Linked DNA regions of Saccharomyces cerevisiae S288C. Changing the gene in region 1 together with any one later gene gives a genetic interaction. Each region holds a gene or a part of one and is shown in the gene's direction. Other genes may lie near its edges.

Region 1 (7,946 bases):
GATCTAACAATATCTTGTAAAAGCGTCTCCCCTCCCGTGGCCAACAGGCCATCTTGGCAGCCGATAATGTAGTCTTCATCTGGGATGAGCCCTGCCGATTGGGCGGGTCCATCTGGGATGTTCACGTTCAGGATATGGTATGTGAAAGTGGAAGCTATCAAAGGCGTCCATTGGACTTTGAACCCGAGTGCTTGGAACTGGTGCGCTTCCCCACTAGATGGCCTCCTCTCGTCATGGTTTAGAGAAACATCGTCCAAATCGTCGCTCTCCTTCGATATAATGCTGATATACTCGTCTCTGAACGTGCCTCCTTTAGCTGACCATATGTTGACCTTCAAAGTTCGGCCACAGTGTTCATTGAAGATGGATGTGATACGACGGTAATCTGGGTACGAAAATCCGTGTTGATTACTGACCACCGGCACCGGATCATCATTGAAACCTACTATATAGTCGAAAAAGGACTGCAGTTGGAACTGCATCTCGTCCACCCAAACAATGCGGAGACCGGAAAGCGTTTCATTGACGTTGGTGTGCTTAACACCTTCAGAAACCGCATCTACGGGTGATTCCAACTGAGCAGACAACAAATTTGGTGGTATAGACTGAAAGAAAGCGTCCAGATTGCTCGAGTCCTGCGAGAGTGCCAGGGTATCTTGCACGCTCTGCTCAAAAGTCCGTACGAGGTTTTTAGCTATTCTAAACATAGTTCTTCTTCCTATACCTTTTTACTTCCCTAGTTTCGCACGCTGTGTCGGTCGCAGTTACAGTAGTAGTCTCAGCACCCCTGTTCTTGGTCCTGATCCCGTTGCGACAAGCCCATTTCTTTTATGATAGCCAAAATGCAACTAAACCTCGTCGTCGTCGGCTTGCGTGTCCGCCGCGAAGACAGAAAAATAACGAAACGAACTTAATAGAAACGACCTAGATTTTATTTGGAAGCCAGCCCGATGCTATCTTCAAAATGGCTGTCACTGGGTGCAAAGGCGGTGGGAGAGCCCATTAAGTAATTTAATCGGGTTGTCTCACCAATGTTAGCCACAACGCAACGCTACGTCGCCACTCTGGCAGCCACCGCAACGAGCAGTAGCAACTACTTTCGGGTGGGCCCTTCAGGGGTAGTTGCCTGCGTCTTTGTTCGAAGAATCAAGTGACAAAAAACGCGGGGCATCCAGAAAGTCTTTTTGTGTGTGTCGTCGAAAGGGAAAGTGAGAGAGTGAGAGTGAATTAGTGTTTGTGTGTGTGGAAGACAGAGGAAGAAGATCGGGTCGTCGAATTCTATTATGCTTGCGATGCAGGGGGGGGAAACATGTATTCGGGATTATATAAAGTCGATTCTGTGTAAGTGTAAAATCTCATCTTGTCTCGTGTTCTTTTGTACGTCTCATACTTATAGGAAGTTTAAATAGAAACAGATATCAGTGTATCAAGGAAGAATTGTACAAGAATCGAATCATAGATACACAGTAATGTCATTTGAAAATTTACATAAAGTCAATGCTGAGGCATTGGAAGATGCAGTGGTTGAGATCTGCTCCTCATTGCAGGTTGATGCAGCAAAGTTGGACGAACTAACAGCGTACTTCATTGAATGTATGGAAAAGGGGTTGAATAACACCTCTGTAGGCGAAGAAAAGACGGTGGACAAGGGTCTACCCATGATCCCTACATATGTAACCAGTTTGCCCAATGGGACGGAACGTGGTGTTTTGCTGGCTGCAGATTTAGGTGGGACTCACTTCAGAGTGTGTTCTGTGACTTTGAATGGTGACGGAACCTTTGATATGCAGCAATTGAAGTCTAAGATTCCGGAAGAATATCTAAATGACAAGGATGTCACCAGCGAGGAGCTGTTTAGCTACCTGGGTCGCCGTACAAGGGCCTTCGTTAGGAAGCATCATCCTGAGTTGTTGAAGTCCACGGGGGAGAACATAAAACCTTTGAAAATGGGATTTACCTTCTCATATCCCGTTGACCAAACCTCTTTGAGTTCCGGTACTTTAATCAGATGGACCAAAAGCTTCAAGATTGAAGACACGGTCGGCAAGGATGTCGTGAGGTTATACCAGGAGCAATTAGACATTCAGGGGCTCTCTATGATTAATGTGGTAGCTTTGACCAACGACACGGTTGGCACTTTCCTATCCCACTGCTACACTTCAGGCTCTCGTCCATCGAGTGCTGGTGAGATTAGCGAGCCTGTCATTGGTTGTATCTTTGGTACTGGTACTAACGGTTGCTATATGGAGGATATTGAAAACATCAAGAAGCTACCAGATGAGCTCAGAACAAGACTGCTGCATGAAGGAAAAACCCAAATGTGCATCAACATCGAATGGGGTTCTTTCGACAATGAATTGAAACATTTGTCTGCTACAAAGTATGACATCGATATTGACCAAAAATTTTCTCCAAATCCAGGTTACCATCTATTTGAAAAAAGAATTTCCGGCATGTACTTGGGTGAGCTGTTAAGGAACATCCTGGTGGACTTGCATGCAAGGGGCTTAATCTTGGGACAGTATCGTAATTACGATCAATTACCTCACCGTTTAAAGACTCCTTTCCAATTGTGCAGTGAAGTTCTTTCCAGGATTGAAATCGATGATTCGACAAACTTGCGTGAAACTGAATTGTCGTTTTTGCAGAGTTTGAGGCTACCGACCACTTTTGAAGAACGTAAAGCAATTCAAAATCTGGTCCGTTCCATTACGAGAAGGTCTGCATATCTAGCAGCCGTTCCGATTGCCGCCATCCTAATCAAGACAAACGCTTTGAACAAAAGATATCACGGTGAGGTAGAAATTGGTTTTGACGGTTATGTCATCGAATACTATCCTGGATTCAGATCCATGCTGAGACATGCTTTGGCATTAAGTCCAATTGGCACTGAGGGTGAACGTAAGATACATTTGCGTCTAGCCAAAGATGGGTCCGGTGTTGGCGCAGCTTTGTGTGCTCTGGTGGCATAAAACATATCTGTTCTTAACAGCTTATTTTTAGTTTGTTTTCGTTTTCCTCTATATAAATATCTTATGTATCTGTTATATAAAAAATTATTTAGTACGAATTGAAATGAAATGTTATGTTATATTTTTAGAGAGAATCTGCTATTACTTTATACATGTTAACTATATACATAATAAAAAAAAAAAAAAAAATATTGTCTAAAATTAATCATTTATTTGTAAGTTTTGTTCAAACTGCCTGCTAATTTCACCTTGGTCATAGCTCTGACTCTTTTTCCCATTTTCATTACTGGGAAAGAAGTTTGGATAGCCCATATAAGAATAATTGTCTAAATCGTTCGGTCCCAATAGTTTCTCAATGTTGTATTTTTCAGTTTCGTCATCATTTTCATCAAAATTACTTTCCATAGCGTATTCAGCCCAATTTTCGCGCCTAATAAAATAGTTTTCCAATGGATTGAAATCATCTGCCATGTTCTTCTGAGCACCTTCTATGCTTCCAAGGGCAATTTCCAAATGGTTTGTTTCTTTATGTTGTAAAACTTCTCTCATAGATGCCAAAATTAAATTTGGGTCTCCACCAAGAGATAAATTAACCATACGGTAAAATTTCCCTATCAAACTCATGGGGATAAATCCGTCATTGGCTTTTTTGAATTTAGATCTTAAAAATTCATCTGTTTTCAAGTTCTCTTCACTAAAATAGAATTCAATTTGGTTTTTGATACTTTCGATAGATTTAAAAATAGGTTCCATTGAGTAATAATATGGTGTTTGCAATTGTTGTTGATAGTTGATGTTATTATAATACTGCTGTTGACGGAAGTATGACAGTTGTTTATAGCTATTTCTTGAATTGTTGTTCAACCAGTGGCTGGCATTGGGAATATATTCAGGTCTAGCCTGATAATTATTTGGGAAGGAGATGGCATTATTAGCCGCCTGACTGTGTCTACTATTGTTGTTGTATCTTGTTTTGCCATTCCTGTTTTGATAATTTCTTGATTGTCTACCGTTGGTTGAATTGTTGTTGTTTGTTATCCTCTTTATATTCCCATTGGCAGTTGCTCCTGAGCTTGAATGTATGTTTACTTTAGCGTTAGCATCTAAAGGTTTGGATTCAAGATTGGAAACGTTACTTATTTCCGATGTACTGTTGGTTTGACCGTTAAAGTCCTTTTTATTGATATCGTTATTATATTTGCCACGCTTTTTCATTTTTTTATTAGTCTTAGAATTTTTAGAGTTCTTTCCTGACTTTGAATTTGTGTCCTTGGAACCTGAGATTATAACAGACGGCGTAATTGGAGTCCATTTGGTATTGCTTGTTAATTTAATTGACCCCGAACCATTTTTACTTGGCTTTGCAGTCTTTGATATATCTCTTAGTTCCTCTACAGGAATTACTGTATTGCTATCTGGCGAAGATGATTTCCATGGCGATGTGGTTGGTATTGGTGCCAACTTTAAGGATGAAGTTTGTTTCTTCTTATCTTCAGCTGCTGAGGATGTATTTTTTGGATTATCATTGAGGTTTTGCGATGACATTTTTGAATTCACTTTATGATTGATTTTCTTTATCTTGGTTATATTTTTGGGCTCTCTCGTTTATTTAACGCCACCCTAAATTGTGTCTTAACAATACGCTTCCTCTCAGTATTTTTTTTTAAATAAAAAAATATGATAGAACTGCTGAACACTACTTTTTAAAACCTTTTAATAAATAGACAAGTGTCAACCAAGGATGTGCCAATTTTCCTTTGTGATTCAGCTGCGCTTGTATGTGCTTCCAGCTTTACTTTTACTAATTTTTTCATAAGCACAAAATAGTAAGATCTTTTTTCTCTTGGCGGTGAAAAATTTTGATTCGATGGATCAATAACATACTGCAAAAAACGGTTTGAGGACATATGAATACTGCATTTACTAGTAATTTGCCTAGTATATAGTTTGACTACACAGATTATAAGCTATTGTATGAGTAGCTCCACAAAGTGCAAGAAAGCATACGAAGCGGTAGTCAAAATGGTTACGCATAGATTCAACTCCAAAGCAGTCCGCAATTACCATCAACCACAAGGTTTAAACAGGAGTCTGGCAACCCGCAATGCAGCTAGAGTTAGGGGTATGGTCCCTTCAAGAAGAGGGGGCGTGGGACTGTATAAGAGTTCAAGTAGCAAGTTGATGAATAAACTAGGAAGACAAAAGACATGGATAAATGAGTTTGAACATTTTAATTCTCTGCACGAAATTGCATATACCCCTAACATTGCGTTAAGTAGTGAAATCCAAAAATATTTAAAGGCATTGGAAACAAACTATCGGTCCATCTATGAGAAAAGTTCAGAATTACTGGATAAGAAGCTGGAAGAAATTGACAAGAAATGGATAGAGAAAAACGGGTGTATACCTGATGCATCTAAAGACGATGTGGAGAAAAATCTAAGAAAGCAATATTTAGCAGATGTACAGGACGTAAAAAACGAACATATACCTGTGATGAATTGTGAACCTGGTGGGTCTCAGTTCAAGTATCTCTGTAAAACTATTGAGTTATTATCATCCAACAAGACAATTTGTTTTGCCATCGATGTAGAGGCATTTGAATTTGATACAGACATTGTTACAGAGATTGGCATCGCCATATATGATCCAAGAGAAAACATTTATTCCTTGATGCCGATTATAAGAAGTTATCATTTAATTGTTGCTGAAGCGTTACCGTTAAGAAACAAGAAATTCGTATGCGACTTTAAAGACTGCTTTTTACTTGGAGAAAGTCTTGTATTACCATTGGAACAATGTGTAGAGTTCATTCAGTCGTTGATTAATTTCTATATGAAATGTGAGACGGACCAAGATACAACCTGGGAAAGAGCGTTTGTGGGTCATGCTATAGCGGGGGATATTAAGTGGCTGAAGAAAATTGGGGTCCATGTACCTGAATTGGATAATGAACTTACCAAACCGGAGGACTCAACGGAGAGCAAAGGTGTTAGAAAACATGTTAAGATGCTTGACACAGAGAAAATTTATAGCATGTGTTATGGCAAGAAGGGTAGCAGTTTAGGTAAACTACTAAGGCTTTTTCACTTGCCACATGCCTTCTTACATAACGCAGGCAATGATGCATATTACACGTTGCTCCTGATGCTGAAGTTAGGAGATTATAACTTTAGAAAGCAAATTGGGGCAGATGATTTAGAAACAATGGGATATAGGATAAGAGAATGGTTTAAGCGTGAGGCGGACGAACCCAAAATTTTGCCAATGTCGTACGTGCTAAGTGTGATGAATGCCAATAATAGCAAACCGAAAGTTGATGATAAGGGAAGAAAGAAGCCGAGGGATCTTGTACCTCAGACGGAATTTAGCGGGTCTCATTGGTTTCAAAATGCACGCGCAGCCTTCAAAAGTACTCTTGTGTGAATCTAGCTAGAAGTTTTGTAGGTATATGTGATTTAAGATATAGATAATAAAAGATATATATATGTAAATATTATGAAGGGGATATTAGCGTAATTTAAACTATTGAAATACCGGCTTCAATATTTCAGCTAACTTGCCATTTTTCTTCAAAGTTTCCAAATCGCTGTTACCACCAATGTGCTTGCCATTGATGTATACGTTAGGTACAGTTTTTTGGCCCGAGATTTCTTCTAAAGCGTCTTGAATCTCTGAGCCATTGCTCATTTCATCTAATTCCAACACAAGGGCCTTGGATTTGGGAACGTTCAATTCTTGGAAGAGGGTAGACAAAGTAGCTTTACAGTAAGGGCAGTATGTCTTTGCTGCAACAAACACTTCCTTTTGGCCAATCAGATCCTTTACGTGAGCAACTGTTTCCTGGGATACCATTTTTGGAGTAGATAAAAATCTTTTAGCAATAATTCTTGTGGCAAACAACGTGATAATGATAATAACAATTAAATTCGAGTCGAAGGAAAAATTGGTCTCCATGAAACAATATATAACAGTAGTTGGAGTGTCCGTTAATCAAGAGGGCACCTTTTCTTGGCGTCCTGGGACTTTTTATATGAAAATTCATGAAGAAAGTGCGGCGGGCCCCTTTGCGAAGGGGGCCGAAATATCGGATCTTAGTAATAGTTCTGCTATTGGATGTGGTATTAGCATAAATCAAGAGGGAGGCGATGGTTCTATTAGGGTAAAAGAGAGCAGCTTGAGGAAGAAACAGGAAAGGATGAGTACAAAATATCCGACAACGATGAGTTGCCGAGAGGCATTTGATCAACTGACGAGTTGCTATTCGATTGGAGGGCAATTTAGAAGCTATTACAGATATGGAGATTTTACATCATGTGACAAGCAGGTGTCCAAATTCAAGTTTTGTATTATCCACGGCAATGACCCTGTGAAAGTGCAGGAATGGTATAAAGATCAGGTTTCCAACAATAAGGCATTGGAAAATACCAGTGGGGTTATATGGCAGGAGAGGGAGACCACTGCAAATAAGTGAGATTTTTAGCTTTTTTTTTTTAGCATGTGTACTATATAGTATATGGATTTCTTATTTACAAGCGCAATAAAAAGACGAACACTAATCCTTGTTGTTCCGCTTCACGTCCTTACTTGATTCTATTTCATTGTCTTGGTGAAGTTTCTGTGTTTCCTTCATCAATTCATACAGTTGAACTGTTTGCTCAGGGGATAGTTTCTCCAGGGTTTCCGAAGATAAAGTGGCATCTTTCCATTTACCGTTGGAAATCATGTGGAGATAATCTTGCCAGGAAGCTAAAAAGCCGACTATATGCAACGGGTTATCGATATCTTTGTGCAACTTGAACTCGTTTCGCACGTATTGGTCACCCATCTCCCTTTGGGGACCAGGTAGCAGCTTATGCTGCCTTAGTATCCTTCTGTAGAGAACCAAAGGTGGAAGTAAAAGCTGGCTGTTATGGGTTGCAAATCTAACCGAACGATATATGAGCTTGTTGTTCATGGTGAATGAAGACGGGA
Region 2 (7,854 bases), on another chromosome or scaffold:
AGGAGGCCAACCATTTTAAAGCCAAGTTTCAATCTTTAGATGATAAATCTAAGAAGTTCTTCTCCAAGATTTCGCTAGCCATTAACGATATTGAATGTGTGGAAGGCATTGATAGTGAAACTGGCAAGAAAATTTTCTTCGATAAATCTGGAAGTACTGAGATTTCTCAGTACATAACGAGAGAGTTAGTTCGTGAGTACTTCAACGAGACGCGCTCGACGTTAGACGAACTGACAAATGCTATGGAGAAAGATTTGAGCGAAATCACTGATGAAATTGAAAAAAAAGTTAATGCAATTAGAGAGGAAAACGTCGAGGTATTTGAAGAATGGGGTGATATCATTGTAAATGAATGGTCCAAAAGAATGGCTTATGTGGATGTTATCAACGCTCACATGGGTGCAGATGATGACACTACGCTTGATGAAGAGAAAGCAAAGTCTTCTGTTAACTGGAAGAAGTTTTTGAAGGGCAAGAAACAGATCATAGAATCTAGAGACAAGCTGGCTCACCATTCCGCTGACTTATCCCGTGTTAACGCGTTTAGGCAAAAAGTGCAAAAGAAGATATTATCGTTCACTCAAGAGAGTGGTGAGTTTTTGTATATTCTAAGATCGAAAGCCAACCTGCAATTTCAGGAACGTGAAAGAAAGGAACGTGAAAGAAAAGAGCGTGAAAAAGCTGCAGCAGAAGAGTTCCAAAGGCAGCAGGAGCTATTACGACAACAGGAAGAAGAAGACGAAGAAGACGTATCCTACACCTCTACTTCGACCATCACCACAACCATTACCATGACATTGTGATGAAATTCATGCGCTTGCTATACACACACACACACACACACACACACACACACACAATATCTATCTATATATATATGTATGTTCTTTATTGTTTGTCTTTACCTTTATATATAAACATATATAGCCATATAAGAATATAATATTACCACTCCACTGTATTTTGTATCCTGCCTATTTTTGCTAGATTACAGGACGCGCGAGCCTTTCAGGGGAGGGAACTGATGAATCGATCAACCAAAAGAAAGAGCCAAAGGATTGGACCAGAACTGTTACTGTTATAGCAGAAATATTAGTAGTACGTTAAAGCCAAGCGTCGAATTTCAGCATAATTAAGAGGAAATGTCTGAATATATGGATGACGTAGACCGCGAATTCATTAACTGTTTGTTCCCGAGCTACTTGCTGCAACAGCCTGTGGCTTATGATTTATGGATTTTATATTTGCAACATAGAAAACTCTTTCACAAACTGAAGAACACTAACTTAATCAACGCTGATGAAAATCCCACTGGCGTTGGAATGGGCAGGACAAAGTTAACTGCTTTAACAAGGAAAGAAATCTGGTCTAAATTGATGAATTTGGGTGTTCTAGGCACAATTTCGTTTGAAGCTGTCAACGACGATTACCTGATTCAAGTCTATAAATATTTCTATCCAGACGTTAATGATTTTACTTTGAGATTTGGTGTTAAAGATTCAAATAAAAATTCAGTGCGAGTTATGAAAGCTTCCTCAGACATGAGGAAAAATGCTCAGGAACTATTAGAACCCGTTTTATCCGAACGTGAAATGGCGCTTAACTCTAATACCAGCCTGGAAAATGACAGAAATGACGATGATGATGACGATGATGATGATGACGATGATGACGATGACGATGACGACGACGACGATGAATCCGATCTGGAAAGCTTAGAAGGGGAAGTGGATACTGACACGGACGATAACAACGAAGGAGATGGCTCTGACAATCACGAGGAAGGTGGAGAAGAAGGAAGTAGAGGAGCTGATGCTGATGTGTCCAGTGCACAGCAGCGTGCCGAAAGGGTTGCGGACCCATGGATATATCAAAGATCTAGATCAGCTATTAATATAGAAACAGAATCAAGGAATTTGTGGGATACATCTGACAAGAACAGTGGTCTACAATACTACCCCCCTGATCAGTCTCCAAGTTCTTCCTTTTCTTCTCCTAGAGTATCGTCTGGTAACGACAAAAATGACAATGAGGCAACAAATGTTTTGTCCAACAGTGGTAGCAAAAAGAAAAACTCAATGATCCCTGATATTTACAAAATACTTGGGTACTTTTTACCTTCTAGATGGCAAGCTCAACCAAATAACAGCTTGCAGCTATCTCAAGATGGTATTACTCATTTACAACCTAATCCTGATTATCACTCATACATGACTTATGAAAGATCAAGCGCTTCTTCTGCCTCTACCAGAAATAGACTGAGAACCTCTTTTGAGAACTCTGGGAAAGTGGACTTTGCAGTCACTTGGGCAAATAAGTCATTGCCAGACAATAAGTTAACTATATTCTATTACGAGATTAAAGTTCTCAGTGTAACGAGTACAGAGAGTGCTGAAAATAGTAACATTGTTATCGGATACAAGTTAGTAGAGAATGAATTAATGGAAGCGACTACAAAAAAGAGTGTTTCTCGTTCAAGCGTGGCCGGTTCTAGTAGTAGCTTAGGTGGTAGTAATAACATGAGTTCCAATAGAGTACCTTCTACTTCTTTCACTATGGAAGGTACTCAAAGGCGTGATTATATTTATGAAGGGGGCGTTTCAGCCATGTCTCTTAACGTGGATGGTTCCATAAATAAGTGTCAGAAATACGGATTTGATCTTAATGTATTTGGCTATTGCGGATTTGACGGTTTGATAACTAATTCTACAGAACAATCTAAGGAATATGCTAAGCCTTTTGGTAGGGATGACGTTATTGGTTGTGGCATAAATTTTATCGATGGCTCAATTTTTTTCACGAAGAATGGTATCCATTTAGGTAACGCATTCACCGACTTGAATGATCTAGAATTCGTCCCATATGTGGCCTTACGACCTGGGAATTCTATCAAAACAAATTTTGGGTTAAATGAGGATTTTGTATTTGACATTATTGGATATCAAGATAAATGGAAGAGTTTGGCGTATGAGCATATTTGTCGTGGACGCCAAATGGACGTTTCAATTGAAGAATTCGACTCTGATGAAAGTGAGGAAGATGAAACTGAAAATGGGCCTGAAGAAAATAAATCAACAAACGTTAATGAAGATTTGATGGATATTGATCAAGAGGATGGTGCCGCTGGTAATAAGGATACAAAGAAGCTTAACGATGAGAAGGACAACAATCTGAAGTTTCTTTTGGGAGAAGATAATAGGTTTATAGATGGAAAGCTAGTTAGACCAGACGTGAACAATATTAACAACTTAAGCGTGGATGACGGTTCATTGCCTAATACATTAAACGTGATGATAAATGATTATTTGATCCACGAAGGATTGGTGGATGTTGCAAAGGGGTTTTTGAAAGATTTGCAAAAAGATGCGGTTAATGTCAATGGGCAACATTCTGAAAGTAAAGATGTTATCAGGCACAATGAAAGACAGATCATGAAAGAAGAACGTATGGTAAAGATAAGGCAAGAATTAAGATACTTGATAAACAAAGGTCAAATTAGCAAATGCATCAATTATATCGATAACGAAATTCCAGATCTGTTAAAAAATAATCTAGAATTGGTATTTGAGTTAAAACTAGCGAATTATCTGGTGATGATTAAAAAGAGTTCATCCAAAGATGATGACGAAATTGAAAATTTAATTTTGAAGGGTCAAGAATTATCTAATGAATTTATCTACGATACTAAAATTCCACAATCTTTGAGGGATAGGTTTAGTGGACAATTGAGTAATGTCTCTGCATTGTTAGCATATTCCAATCCACTTGTGGAGGCACCAAAGGAGATATCAGGATATTTGAGTGACGAATACTTACAAGAGAGATTATTTCAAGTTAGTAACAACACAATACTAACATTTTTACATAAGGATAGCGAATGCGCATTAGAGAATGTAATATCAAACACTAGAGCTATGCTTTCTACATTACTTGAGTATAACGCGTTCGGTTCAACCAACTCTTCAGATCCAAGATATTACAAAGCTATTAACTTCGACGAAGATGTGTTGAATTTATGAGCATAAAACAAGCACCTTCAAACAACAAAGCCATGTGATATCAGTCATTATCTTCCCAAAAATCGCATATTAATATGTCTTAAACCGTTTATATAATGAAATTTACTTGACACCTTTCTTTTTAATATTCTCATCCAAAATACTTCTTAAGTATAGTATATAATTTCATCGATAATTCCTTTATAGGCCAACGAAGAGCCACTAGACGTAGACACCGAAAGAATTCGAAGCAAAAACAGTGGTCAAGCCAGCAAACAAGCTGCCAATTACACTTAAAATTGTGTAGAAGAAGAGTTTCTTAATGTATGAAGATTTAGAACCGACGGCGAACAGGGCAGATGATAATACAGCTAATGTAACGATTAAACCACAAATTGCAAATTTTGGTTGAGTGTCTAAGTGGATAAATGGCTGGAAGCTCTTTGAGGAATGGAACTCTTTCTTAAGTGATTACACAAATGCCGAGAAGGCGAATTGGCTATACTTGTTAGTAATTATGAATTAGAAAACAGGAAGGGAACTATTCATTGTCCTGTGTGTTGTTAAAAACATCAAAAGAATAGCATCAACCAGCGTTACAGGCAACGTACGTATAATTGTTCATAAGTCATTGTAAACCTTGAATATGCAGGGATATCTCTCACTGCTTATGTTTTGCCTATTTACAGTATACGTTTTATGTGTACTTGCATCCTTCTTCGAAAAGTATTTGCAATTTCAAATTTCGCGTCAAAGAAAAGAGAAGACCACCCAAAAGATATCATTTCAACATAGGTAGAAATAAGGCAGAAGATGATGGGACGAAACGGTATTCGGCTAGCACTGAAAAGATCTTTCAGCACTTATCAGCCACCGGTAGTAGAGATTACGAATATAACGAAGTTATGGCCCACTCTACGACCTGAAGTTAGGGATGAAATCAAGGAATACTTACGATGGAGGATGCAAGAAGATTGGAGACATATACCGCTGGAGGAGACCAAAGCAGCGTATTTCTTATCTTATGGACCCTGTGGTGGCAGATCCAAGGGCAACGAATGGAACGTAGGGTACACGGGAATGCGGATAGTGTTCAACCTTGTTTTATTTGGCGGTGCAGCGACTGCATTTTATAATTGGAAACAAGATAAAAAGCTAGAGGAACAATTAAGGGATCTTGTATAAATTGGAAGCAACAATAGTATATATATATATGCGCTTGCGCAGAGTACGTTCTATTCATTTTTTATCATTCATTATCTATCCCTGTAAATAAACTAATATAAAAATTCAAAAAAATAATGATTTCGCCCAGGATCGAACTGGGGACGTTCTGCGTGTTAAGCAGATGCCATAACCGACTAGACCACGAAACCACTTAATTGAAATATACAACCCCAAGATAAGATACTTGCTTCATAGTTTAGTTGTAAAATTGAAGTTCAGTACAACATGGCACTAGTATAAAAAAAAGTTTACCAGCCATTACTGCGCACTTACCTACATTAGTCACTCTTAGCGTATATTCTAAATACGCTTAGAGACGTCTCCTTACTATTTTTCATACGTATAACTCTCAAAGGACAGTATAGACATATCCCTGGGGGCTTTTAGAGTGCAGCCTCTGGAGGTCTACACACGTTAATAGTCTCAAAAAATACGCTAATATTTGTTAAATAAGCGAATAGGTCTTCATGTGCGCCTGAATCAGTAGCTGTCTACATGGTAAAGAGTAATTTGTTGACACGAAAATTGATAGTTGGTTAAAAAATATTGCAGATTCAATACTACATGAAAGACTTAATTACAAGATAGACTGATGGTGAAAAAAGAATGTACAGGTTTACCGGCAAACATTTTGAGAAATTAAAGCCCAAAAAATTTTGTGTACCTTATGATTTTCCTCCTCTGTCTAATCCAGTTCCGTATCTGGGTACTGCTGCTTCTTTGTTAAAATCGCAGCATGCTTCCCATTGTTGGGAATTGACTTTGAGCAATATTTAGTTAGTAACTACCATATAGGTGACTGTCGTGTGCCAGCTATAACAGAAATAATCCTTTCACCATGATCATTGTAAACGATCAAAGAAAACTCTGAAGGGACTATAATGCAGTCTTCATGCAGACACTTGAAATATACGACATTAGTAGCTCCCAAGGTAGTAGGCACATCCTGCGTAAATTCTCCACAACCATGTTGTATATATAGCAGCCATAGTATGACCGAGCACATGGGACGTACGAATAAAAGATTTTCTCAGATCCCTGAACTTGAGCGTCAACCATGAATTTCTCTACTTTTTTTTCGAGCAGTAATTACCATTTTAGGTTTGATTACAATCACAGCTTCAGCAGAATTTGATTTCGACGTAGGCTATGAAGAGTTTGTCCGTATCAACCCTGATAAGACCTTCTTAGAAAGTGAGATTGGCCTTTACGTTGGTTGGACCGAGGGTAGTCAACGGCAGATAACAACGATACCACATAATTCCACGTTGGCGGCATCACTACAAGAGTAGAATGGTTGTGGTGGTAATGGCACAGAAACCTCCATCGCTACGTCCACACTTACGATGAGTGGTATACCTATCGCTACGATAATGAAGCACAGAAAAAGTGTACTTATCATATTACCGCAACTATGTACGTGAGGTGTAAATTATGGCTCTCATAGGACATAAGTAGGACAGAAATTGAAATTTTTGTGTTGGCAGAGCGAAAGAAACTTGAATTCGTTTATGAGGAATAAATTCTCAGCTCCATCCATGGTTCCAGTTGACGCTATGATACGCAAATTCCTTTGTGATACAGGTATCATTTCTGCAATTCCTCGTAGATTGTTGATCATACCATAAGATTGATGCTGGGGAAAGTGGAGAAGCTAACTTAACGATTGAGGCCTTGGCAAACCCTGTTAAACCAGTACTATCGGCCTTAACATGCGACTTAGAGAGAGAGAGAGAGAGAGATGTTTGCGTTTGCGTCATGATAGAGATGCTACATCCACATAGTTGTTGTAGACATGTTTAAAGGTACAATTCTGCAACAACGCCTTGAAATTTTCCAAAACTAACCAAGCACATTGGAGTTACGCTTATATAGTAAGCCACTTCACTTGCGTTGCTGTAAAGGTTGATAACTACAGGTAGGAATTAATGAATGTTAAATAAAAAAGGGAAATACCATCATCTCGACAAGAAAGGCAAAATAACTTTTCAATCTCACCAAGACGCGCGAACGAAACTCGTGCGTCTATATTAGTATCTTGACGGCGCTTTTACATCATTAAAGGTGTAATAAAACTGAAGTCATGCGATGGCACTGAAATAATCAAAGTAACTATTTGTGATGGCATGCACTGTGATATGATCTCAAGGAAAAAAATGCAATGTCGGGCGCCAATACTTATGATCATGCTTAGTCTCGACATTGACCTTGCTTGCTACAGTAATCTGGTGTCCGAGTAGTGACATCTAGGTACCGGTGAGAACTATATCTTCATTACTACACTTGTCGCCCCTGAATATTATCGCTACACACGCGAAAGAGCTCTTGTTAAAGTTACTCTCGCATCATTGCGGTACATGTTTTGCATATTCATCTGAAGTAGGAAAGGGTATAAGCAGTATATGATGTACCATCTGCATAAGCGGTGTTTAATGCGTACCTATCGTTTAAGAACAAAAGGAACACACCCACACCCGCTCCAATACCATATTGAGAGAATAATGAGGTAACATATGCTTCTATTTGGTTCGATAAGACGGCTACTAGTCCAAAAAAAGTCAAACAACAATTTCAACAGCTACATTCTGAAGATAGAACGCATTTTTGCCTGAATATTGCAACTCAATAG
Region 3 (8,711 bases), on another chromosome or scaffold:
TTTAGAAGACTTTTCAATCTAAGTGGGAAAAAAGAGAACCAATACTCAGACTCAGAGCGTGATTTAAAATTACAAATTGCTACCGCTGTTCTCAATCGACAAACATGTTTTTACAAAACACTCGAGTTGTTTTTGAGATTTTGGATAGAATCATTAGCAAAATCGCAAAGTGATTTGGTTTCACTGTTAAATTTAGCTATTATCACTTTAAAATATGTTTGTTTGTCATCCAGTGATTTGGAAGCAGCAATACAGACGAAATCCCTTCTCAAGACCCAAGTTGTTGCACTTGACTCTATGAGATATAAATTTGCAAGAACATTACAATTAGACTCAATCAAAAAAGAACAGTATCGAACCTGGTCATCTAGTATCGCTAGCTTCGATACCATGCTATCAGGCCAGGTTCGTGATTACGTTCGTCATCAAAGACTTCTTCAATTGCAAAAGGGAACGTGGGTTTACGCAGAGAACCCACTGAATCCTGAAGCTGGCACGCCTAAAGTCTACTTCCTCATAGTTTCAGATAACCACGCAAATTTATTAGCCAGAGAATTCGAAACACAAACAAACGATTTACCTTATCTATTCGACAATAAAATTTTAACAAGTCCAGGTTCTGAGGCATTAGCTAATGGCAGAACAAAAGTTGTTGTTTTGAAACATATAACCTCTTTCAAAAGCATAGAACTTACTACACCGAGTCGTCGGACGAGCAGTAATGTTTACATCAAATTAGATGAAGCCAATGTGTACACTGGAGTTGAATTAAAAGATCGTAACGACAGGACAGTTTTGAAATTTTATTTAGACACAGAAGAGGGAAGATATATATGGCTAGACGGATTGAAATTGATATCTCCATTCCAGCATGAAGATATATCAGAAGACACGAAAGAACAAATAGACACTTTATTTGATTTGAGGAAAAATGTTCAGATGATAAATTTGAACGTTCGTCAGGACATCATAGTGCCTCCACCTGAACCAAGCGACGAGGACGAAGATGAAGAATTTTATAACTTGGAAACGTTAAAGAAAGTAACCCAAAATTTTTATTTTGATTAAGATACAAATTTGTCGTCAGACGATTTTTTTTTATTTATAACTTTTTTTTACTAGAATGGAATGTAATTTTGTAATTCTTTCCCGCAAGTAGCTTGAGTCTCCATTCAGTTCGTTTGTACTTGAAAAATCCTTTTAATATAGCATATAGCTTGCAGTTTATTAATACTCACTTCTACAGATTCAACAAAAAAAAAGGAATTTTTGACTAATCCCCTGTTTATTAGATGAATTAATGATATTTAAATACAAAGTATTAATAATATAATGACAGTGATAAGTATGTTGATATTTTATGATAATGACGATGAAAATTATTACCTACGGCTTTTGAAGCCCTTCTTCTTATTTGAATTTGTACTCTTCTGCTTTTTAAAAGTTCTTTCTTGATCTGCAATACGGTCGGTTTTGGTTTTTCTATAAGAACGTGCACCATTGCCATCTGCCTTAGCTTCTTCACGCTTTCTCTTTTTGCTGTTAGTGACTTTCTTGTTCCTTGATAAAGCACCTAATACTTTGGAATTTTTCTTATCTGATTCGCTTTGGAACCATGTCCTTCTTGGTCTTGCCTGGATTTCCTTTTTATGCTTCAACATATTTTCACCCTTTCTTAATTGCATTTCAGCCCTTAATATTTCCTTCTCCTCCTTTTCTTCCACCAGAATATCTTCAATCGTATCGTTCATGGATTCAACAAGTTTGTTTGTTTCTTCGATTTGAACCCAGTCTACGTTTCTACCAAGTGCTTTACCTTGAGTTAGGGACTTATTTTCTTCTACACTCTTTATAGCAGCACGTACAATACTTCTATCTTGAGATGATTCACCGACGAAGGTGACGGAACGACCTTCCCTACCAGCTCTGGCGGTACGACCAACTCTATGCAGGTAGATCTCATAACTCTTGGGCATATCGTAGTTGATAACAACCTCAATCTTGGGGATATCAAGACCTCTGGAGGCCAAATCCGTACAGATAAGTACAGGAACTTCCAAATTTTTGAATTTATTAACGGAATCTAAACGCTGTTCTTGGGTTAAAGAACCGTGTAATTCACCCACACTCATACCTAAAAGACCCATGATAATCCTTAACCTATGAGCAGTTTCTTTTCTAGCCACAAAAACGACAATCCTCTTTTGACCCGTTGGATCCAATTTCCTAATCAAATTAAATAACAAGGCAGGCTTCAAATGGTCTCTTTTACGAATACGAACGAATTCTTGTGTCAACTTAGTAGCAGCTTTCTTTGGAGGATCAATCATAATCCTTACTGGTTTTTTTAGAGAAAGACTAACTAAACTTTTAATTTTGGAGTTCATTGTAGCAGAAAACAATAGGTTCTGTCTATTGCTTGGTAATAGGCCCATAATTTCGTTCAGTTCATCTTGAAAACCTTCTTCTAACATTCTATCGGCTTCATCCATAACCAGAATCTCTACTGAGTCCACATTAAAACTTGCTGAGTTCCTGATATGATCAATGAATCTACCTGGGGTAGCAATGACGATGTCCGGACGAGATTTCAACATTTGTTCTTGTTGTCTCAAGTTCAAACCACCAACGGCCAGACCAAAGGTTATACCGGAGACGAAACGTGCAATTTGTTTACCAACGTCAGCGACTTGGATAGCTAACTCACGAGTGGGCAATAGAACAATAACTCTGGTGGAAGCGATTTTGGCTGGTTTATACAACAAACGCTCGATTATGGGAATCATAAACGCAGCAGTCTTACCGGAACCAGTCACAGCACCGGCAATGATGTCTTTACCCAATAAGGCAATGGGGATTGTGGCGCTTTGAATAGGGGAAGGCTTGACGTAACCCAAACTTGCAAGGCCCTTAAGAACCGGACGAGATAAAGACAAACTGTTGAAATTTTCGTACATTTGCTTTTTAGCTTCATCTCCCTCAGTTTCAGGCGCATAGAAATCGGCTTTTGCCTCTTCAGAATCGTCTTCTTCATCTATTTCGTCATCTTTGCCGCCTTTTTCTAACGTCATCTCTTCTTGTTCCTCCTCTTCCTCCTCTTCCTCTTCCTTTTCCTCCTCTTCTTCTTCTTCTTCTGACTGATTTTCGTCTCCATTGTTCATGGGAGCTCCCATACCGAACCCGTCCATTGCTAATTCCTCATCGTCGCTATCGTTTTCTTTTTCTACTTTTTCTTTCTCGGTTTCTTCTTCTTGTTTACTATCAATATGGGCCATTTTCACCAGCCCACCTTTTCTTCTAATAATCTTATCCAAGTCAACGTCCTTCTTCACAAAAGCTTCGGCATCGTCCTTATTGGACTCGCCCTCTGCTAGAAAGTTCCAGCCTTGGAAGTTCGAAGTGGTATCATCGGCGTCCAAATCAAACTTAAACCCCGCGTCCAAGTCCTCATGAACATCCTCATCGAGGTTATCCCCCTCACTAACCTTTTTCTTGTTATTCTTACCCTTCCGCTTCTTCGTAGTCTTCTTAGCCTCGACTTTTTCGTCATCAGAAGAATCTAGAATTGGAACATCGTCTTCACTGTCACTGATTGTAGGGACAAAGTCCAAATTAGAGTATTTTTTAGTTCCTACCACCATAGTATATATATAAGACGCTGTTGTAGGCACACAGCTCCAATTCGAAACCCAAGTTACCAACGTAAATACTCATACTATCTAAGCATATTCTAACTTACAATTTTCAACCTCATCTCATCGCATTTTTTGAAAATTTTTTTTCAAATCATTACCCGGATAATGTTATAACCCTACCTATCTCCTTCAAAAAAAGATAAAATGACGATATATAGCGGCGAATCAGAATCTAGTAACCACCTAACTACTTGTCTCTAGTACAACTAAACAAAATTTTAGTGTACACAATCAGATAACTACACAATCAATTATACCCAATGACTGAAACTGACAAGAAACAAGAACAAGAAAACCACGCGGAGTGCGAGGACAAACCTAAGCCATGTTGCGTTTGTAAGCCAGAAAAGGAGGAGCGGGATACATGCATCTTATTCAATGGACAAGACTCTGAAAAATGCAAGGAATTCATTGAAAAGTACAAAGAGTGCATGAAGGGTTATGGCTTCGAAGTTCCAAGTGCAAATTAGTCTTACTGACAGTCTGCCGACAACCATTTCTTGTATATATAAGAATAGGTATTCACAAACTATAGTATATACTACCTGTAAATATGTGCGATGCACAATTAACATTACCTCATCACTACTACACCACTTCTACTGCTAGCACTGTCCTCTTGTGCTTGGCCCCTTAAGAGTGTTCTAAGACCACGTGACCAGAAAAGGACGTATCACGTGACACAAACCTAATAACTTTTTTAGGAAACCCTAAGTCAGGGCACGCTTGCTTTGTTTCTTTTTTTTCTGGAAAGAACGGAAAAAAAAAAAAGTCTGGGATTAGTTAGTGTATATTAAGTGAAAAAGTATAGAAATAGGTGTCGAGAAGAAGTGCTCGTTGAACCATACTGCTCACAATACTCTTTCATTGAACTCTTTATTACGTTGTCGTCAAGTACAACTCCTTCCTTTATCGCCTGCCTAGCCTATAGTCTGCTCTCTTCGTGTCATTCCTTATAGCATAATCAATCGCACTTCCCCTTTCATTGTGCGTTTATCCAAGCTTTTTATTTGCCTACATTCGTGTTCGTAAGCTTTAACAACAATAAGTAGCAAAACAGTATGGGTTTCATATCGTCAATACTGTGCTGCTCTTCCGAGACGACACAATCCAATTCCAATTCTGCTTATCGCCAACAACAGAGCAGTTCTCTCAATAAAAACAGAAGCGTTAAACATTCCAACACGAAAAGCCGAACCCGTGGCGTACATCAGACAAACTCTCCTCCTTCTAAGACAAATTCAGCCGCTACTTTCAGTTCCACTGAACGATCCACCGGTAAATCTGGGATAAGCACGAACGATAATGAAAAAAAGAAGCCATCGTCGCCGACTGCAGCCGTCACCGCCACTACTACTAATAATATGACAAAAGTAGAGAAGCGAATTAGTAAAGATGATCTTTACGAGGAAAAATACGAGGTTGACGAAGATGAAGAGATCGACGATGAAGATAACCGTCGCAGTCGTGGCATTGTACAGGAAAAAGGAGATGCTGTGAAAGATACTTCCAGGCAGAAAAAACAACAGCAGCAACAACAACAACAGTCACAACCACAACCACAACCCCAGTCACAGTCACAGTCACAGTCGCAGTCGCAGTCGCAGCAGCGAGGGCCTACTGTACAAGTATCGTCTGACCATCTTATCCAAGATATGAATTTGAGTAGGGTAAGTAGCAGCTCTCAAGCCAGTGAAACTTCCAACGATGCCGACGACGAAGACGATGAAGATGAAGAATATATTGATCTAACGCTTTTGCAGCAGGGCCAGTATCATGCACCAGGTTACAACACTCTGCTCCCCCCACAAGATGAAAGTACAAAGGGCAAGAAATGCCTAATACTGGACCTGGATGAAACCTTGGTACACTCTTCTTTCAAATACTTACGATCTGCGGATTTTGTTTTGTCTGTGGAAATAGATGACCAAGTACACAATGTCTATGTCATTAAAAGACCTGGTGTGGAAGAATTTTTGGAAAGAGTCGGAAAATTATTCGAGGTTGTAGTCTTCACGGCTAGTGTCTCTCGATACGGTGATCCTTTGCTTGATATATTAGACACAGATAAAGTCATTCATCACAGATTATTCAGAGAGGCTTGCTATAACTATGAAGGAAACTATATAAAAAACTTATCCCAGATTGGAAGGCCGTTATCAGATATCATCATTCTCGATAACTCTCCGGCATCTTATATTTTTCATCCCCAACATGCAATACCGATTTCGTCCTGGTTCTCAGATACTCATGATAACGAATTATTAGATATTATTCCTCTTTTAGAAGACCTTTCTGTGAAAACCTCACTGGATGTGGGCAAAATTTTGGATGTAACAATATAATGAGCACTTTCGCCCGAATTTCTTGTGGCCCCCGCTACCAAAGAATGAAGATGAAGAAGATGAAGAAAAGAACCAGAGAACAAAAAGTTTTTTCTTTTTTTTTCTTTTTTTTTTTGGCTCAACACACTGTACCCATGCTGTCCCTTGACATTTTTTTTTTCAACTTCTTCTACCATTACGACACAATGTATTCATATATAAATTCATAATCTAATAAAATGGTAATTTTAATTTAACGGGACTGGCGTGAACATTTATCAAATACATGTGAATTAAAAATTAAAAAAATGCAAATATTGTACATATGTGTATATACAGACAACATAAAACAGAATAACTACTTTTCTTGAGTATCACGTTTGTCATCTTCCTTTCTTCTTTTCCTATCTCTTCCTGAATCTTCATATTTGTGCACGGTACCAACGATTTGTTTCTTCCTTTCGGAAATGTATGGCATATCCTTTCTAGTACGCCTTTCATTAGCTTCTCTTCTCTTAATAGAACTCAACTCAATGTTCTTAATTTCCTGAGCCTTTTTGATGACTTGTGGCACGTGTCTATGTCTACTGATTCTTTTGATCTCCGGCATATGTCTAAATCTTTCTTTTAATTTTTCGTCATATTCTAATTTATTCTTTTCACGAGTAGTTTTGACATTAGACCTCTCCCAAGCTTTACTTCTCCATAGCCTAACATTCCCATCATCAGATCCACTGATAATATATTTAGAATCCATGGAATATTTAACCTGGAAAACATGCTGCATTCTCTTCGTATGATAAATTTCTCTCGAATGTCCGTGATTCGTCTTATATATTCTGATACTCTTATCGTACGAACCAGTAACAATCTCATCCCCCGTAGGAGAAAAGTCAACATCCATTACTGCGCTGACGTGATCTTTGAATACATTCAATGAACGTGATAAATTCCTCATATCATAATAGTAGGCGTTATGATCTTCATTGGCAGTTACAAAGTTGAAGGCCTCCATTGGATTCCAGCAAATAGCATTCGTCCTCATTGTTTGAACAATCTTTTGTGTGGGGGAGTTGGTTCTCAAGTCGTAAAGAACAATAGAATTATCACTACCAGTACTGGCCAAGATATCTGTTTCATTTTGATTGAATTTTAAACTAGTAATGTTGTCTGCTCCCCATGATAGATCGGAAACTGGCTTCAATCTGTTAACGTCCCAAAGATGGATCTTGGCCCCACCTGTGGCAAACGTGGAGTTTTCTCTGTGCGAATCGATACCTTGAAATGCAGATTCACCGTCAAAAGTACGAATCAAACCTTCCTCGTTAGTAACGGAGTCGTTATCACTGGAGTTTTTATTGGAGTAATCATCAACATTTATTGACCATAGCTTGACAGTTTTGTCATCACTGCAAGATAACATAAAATTTTGGCTCTTCAAATCTGGCTTCTTGTCATGAAAACGAGGCTGTGTCACACAAAGACCAGTAACGAGTCCATAATGCGCCTTAAAGGAAACAAATTCTTCTCTAGTAGACATGTTCCAGTATTTAATCACACCATCTGCAGAACCAGTAGCCAATTTATTCAGACTACCATAATTTTTGGCAATAGCATAAACACCATCTCTATGACCGTATCCTAACTGACCCACAAAGGGTTTAGCAAACATTCTTTCCAATTTGGTGGCATTCAAAGCTTTAGTATATTCACGTGCCCTTTCAAAAGGATGCAATTCAGGGTTCAAATTCCTGGGCATTTGAGATTCCTGCGTACTTTTAACAGGGACATAGTCATCAGCACTTCTTTTAATGGTCTTAATCTTCATTTTAACGCCTTATCTTCGCGAGTCAAACTACGTTAATGAAATGCGGTTGCTTTATACAACTGTAATGTAATTCAAACTCATCGATTTTTTTTCAATATCAAATTTTTCAAAAAAATGTATCGTTATGCACGGTGATGTCCCAACTCCCGACAATTTGTGACACAATACTTCAAAAAAAAAGAACAATTAAAAACTAAAAATTTACTAGCCCTCTATCTATGTATTCCCAAGTATAATTTATATTAACCTATATATCATGCTTCCTCTTCAAGCCTTCTCAGCAACCATTTCCAGCTCCGTTTCCACCTCTGTGTCCGAACAATCACTTTCAAAGGCGCTGGATGGCTTCTTGGAGTAATAGTTGTTCAAATTCTGTAAAATTGGTTTACCAATTCTCTCTATGACATCATGTGCCCATAGGACATCAATATGGGCATACTCATCAATGTACCAGATCTTGTAGTTGACATTCGACTCCACATTGACGAAATGATTGATTAGTCTTTCTCCGTCCACCAATCTATCTTGCTTTGGAACAAACAAGTAGATATTTGGGGCCTTTGATGCGTCTGAAAACCACTTAACATTGTCGGGGAACATCTTATGGGAACCAAATTTAAAACTTACCTTGTTGGGGTCGGGTGACAGCCACCATTGCATCAACTTCACTGAAACATGGACTGGCGAAAACAGGAAATGGCGATCTCTTAATGCGGTATCCCAAAGGGTATCGTTCCAATCAAACAGGTAATTGAAGATGGTGTAACAAACAAAGGAGAACAAGCTCTCACCAACGCACAAGTTTCTTACAATCATCATTATCTCAAAAAAGCTCGTTTCACCAAAGAACCAGGGATTTTCGAT

Evidence for each region. A genetic interaction does not mean that the proteins touch.
Region 2: mutations in EMI1 (region 1) and MTC3 together harm fitness more than expected from each alone (negative genetic interaction), as found in Saccharomyces cerevisiae (2 studies listed by BioGRID).
Region 3: mutations in EMI1 (region 1) and PSR1 together harm fitness more than expected from each alone (negative genetic interaction), as found in Saccharomyces cerevisiae (2 studies listed by BioGRID).

The regions. Positions count from the first base shown.
Region 1 is NC_001136.10:1,470,000-1,477,945, reverse strand, and holds EMI1 (Emi1p), read left to right. Parts: upstream 1-6,882; coding exon 6,883-7,446; downstream 7,447-7,946. Other genes in the region: GRH1 (Grh1p), read right to left, coding at 1-707; EMI2 (putative glucokinase), read left to right, coding at 1,470-2,972; SLF1 (Slf1p), read right to left, coding at 3,174-4,517; YDR514C (uncharacterized protein), read left to right, coding at 4,947-6,398; dithiol glutaredoxin GRX2, read right to left, coding at 6,498-6,929; SDH7 (Sdh7p), read right to left, coding at 7,528-7,929. UniProt on the Saccharomyces cerevisiae protein: Involved in sporulation. Required for the full activation of the early meiotic inducer IME1.
Region 2 is NC_001139.9:68,529-76,382, forward strand, and holds MTC3 (Mtc3p), read left to right. Parts: upstream 1-4,811; coding exon 4,812-5,183; downstream 5,184-7,854. Other genes in the region: SHE10 (She10p), read left to right, coding at 1-803; glucose-induced degradation complex subunit VID30, read left to right, coding at 1,143-4,019; OST5 (dolichyl-diphosphooligosaccharide--protein glycotransferase subunit), read right to left, coding at 4,221-4,460, 4,610-4,630. UniProt on the Saccharomyces cerevisiae protein: May be involved in telomere capping.
Region 3 is NC_001144.5:126,659-135,369, reverse strand, and holds PSR1 (phosphatase), read left to right. Parts: upstream 1-4,756; coding exon 4,757-6,040; downstream 6,041-8,711. Other genes in the region: LMO1 (Lmo1p), read left to right, coding at 1-1,068; DRS1 (putative ATP-dependent RNA helicase), read right to left, coding at 1,383-3,641; copper metallochaperone COX17, read left to right, coding at 3,956-4,165; rRNA-processing protein SOF1, read right to left, coding at 6,378-7,847; YEH1 (sterol esterase), read right to left, coding at 8,115-8,711. UniProt on the Saccharomyces cerevisiae protein: Has phosphatase activity in vitro. Involved in the response to sodium and lithium ion stress (but not to potassium or sorbitol stress) by inducing transcription of the sodium pump ENA1/PMR2.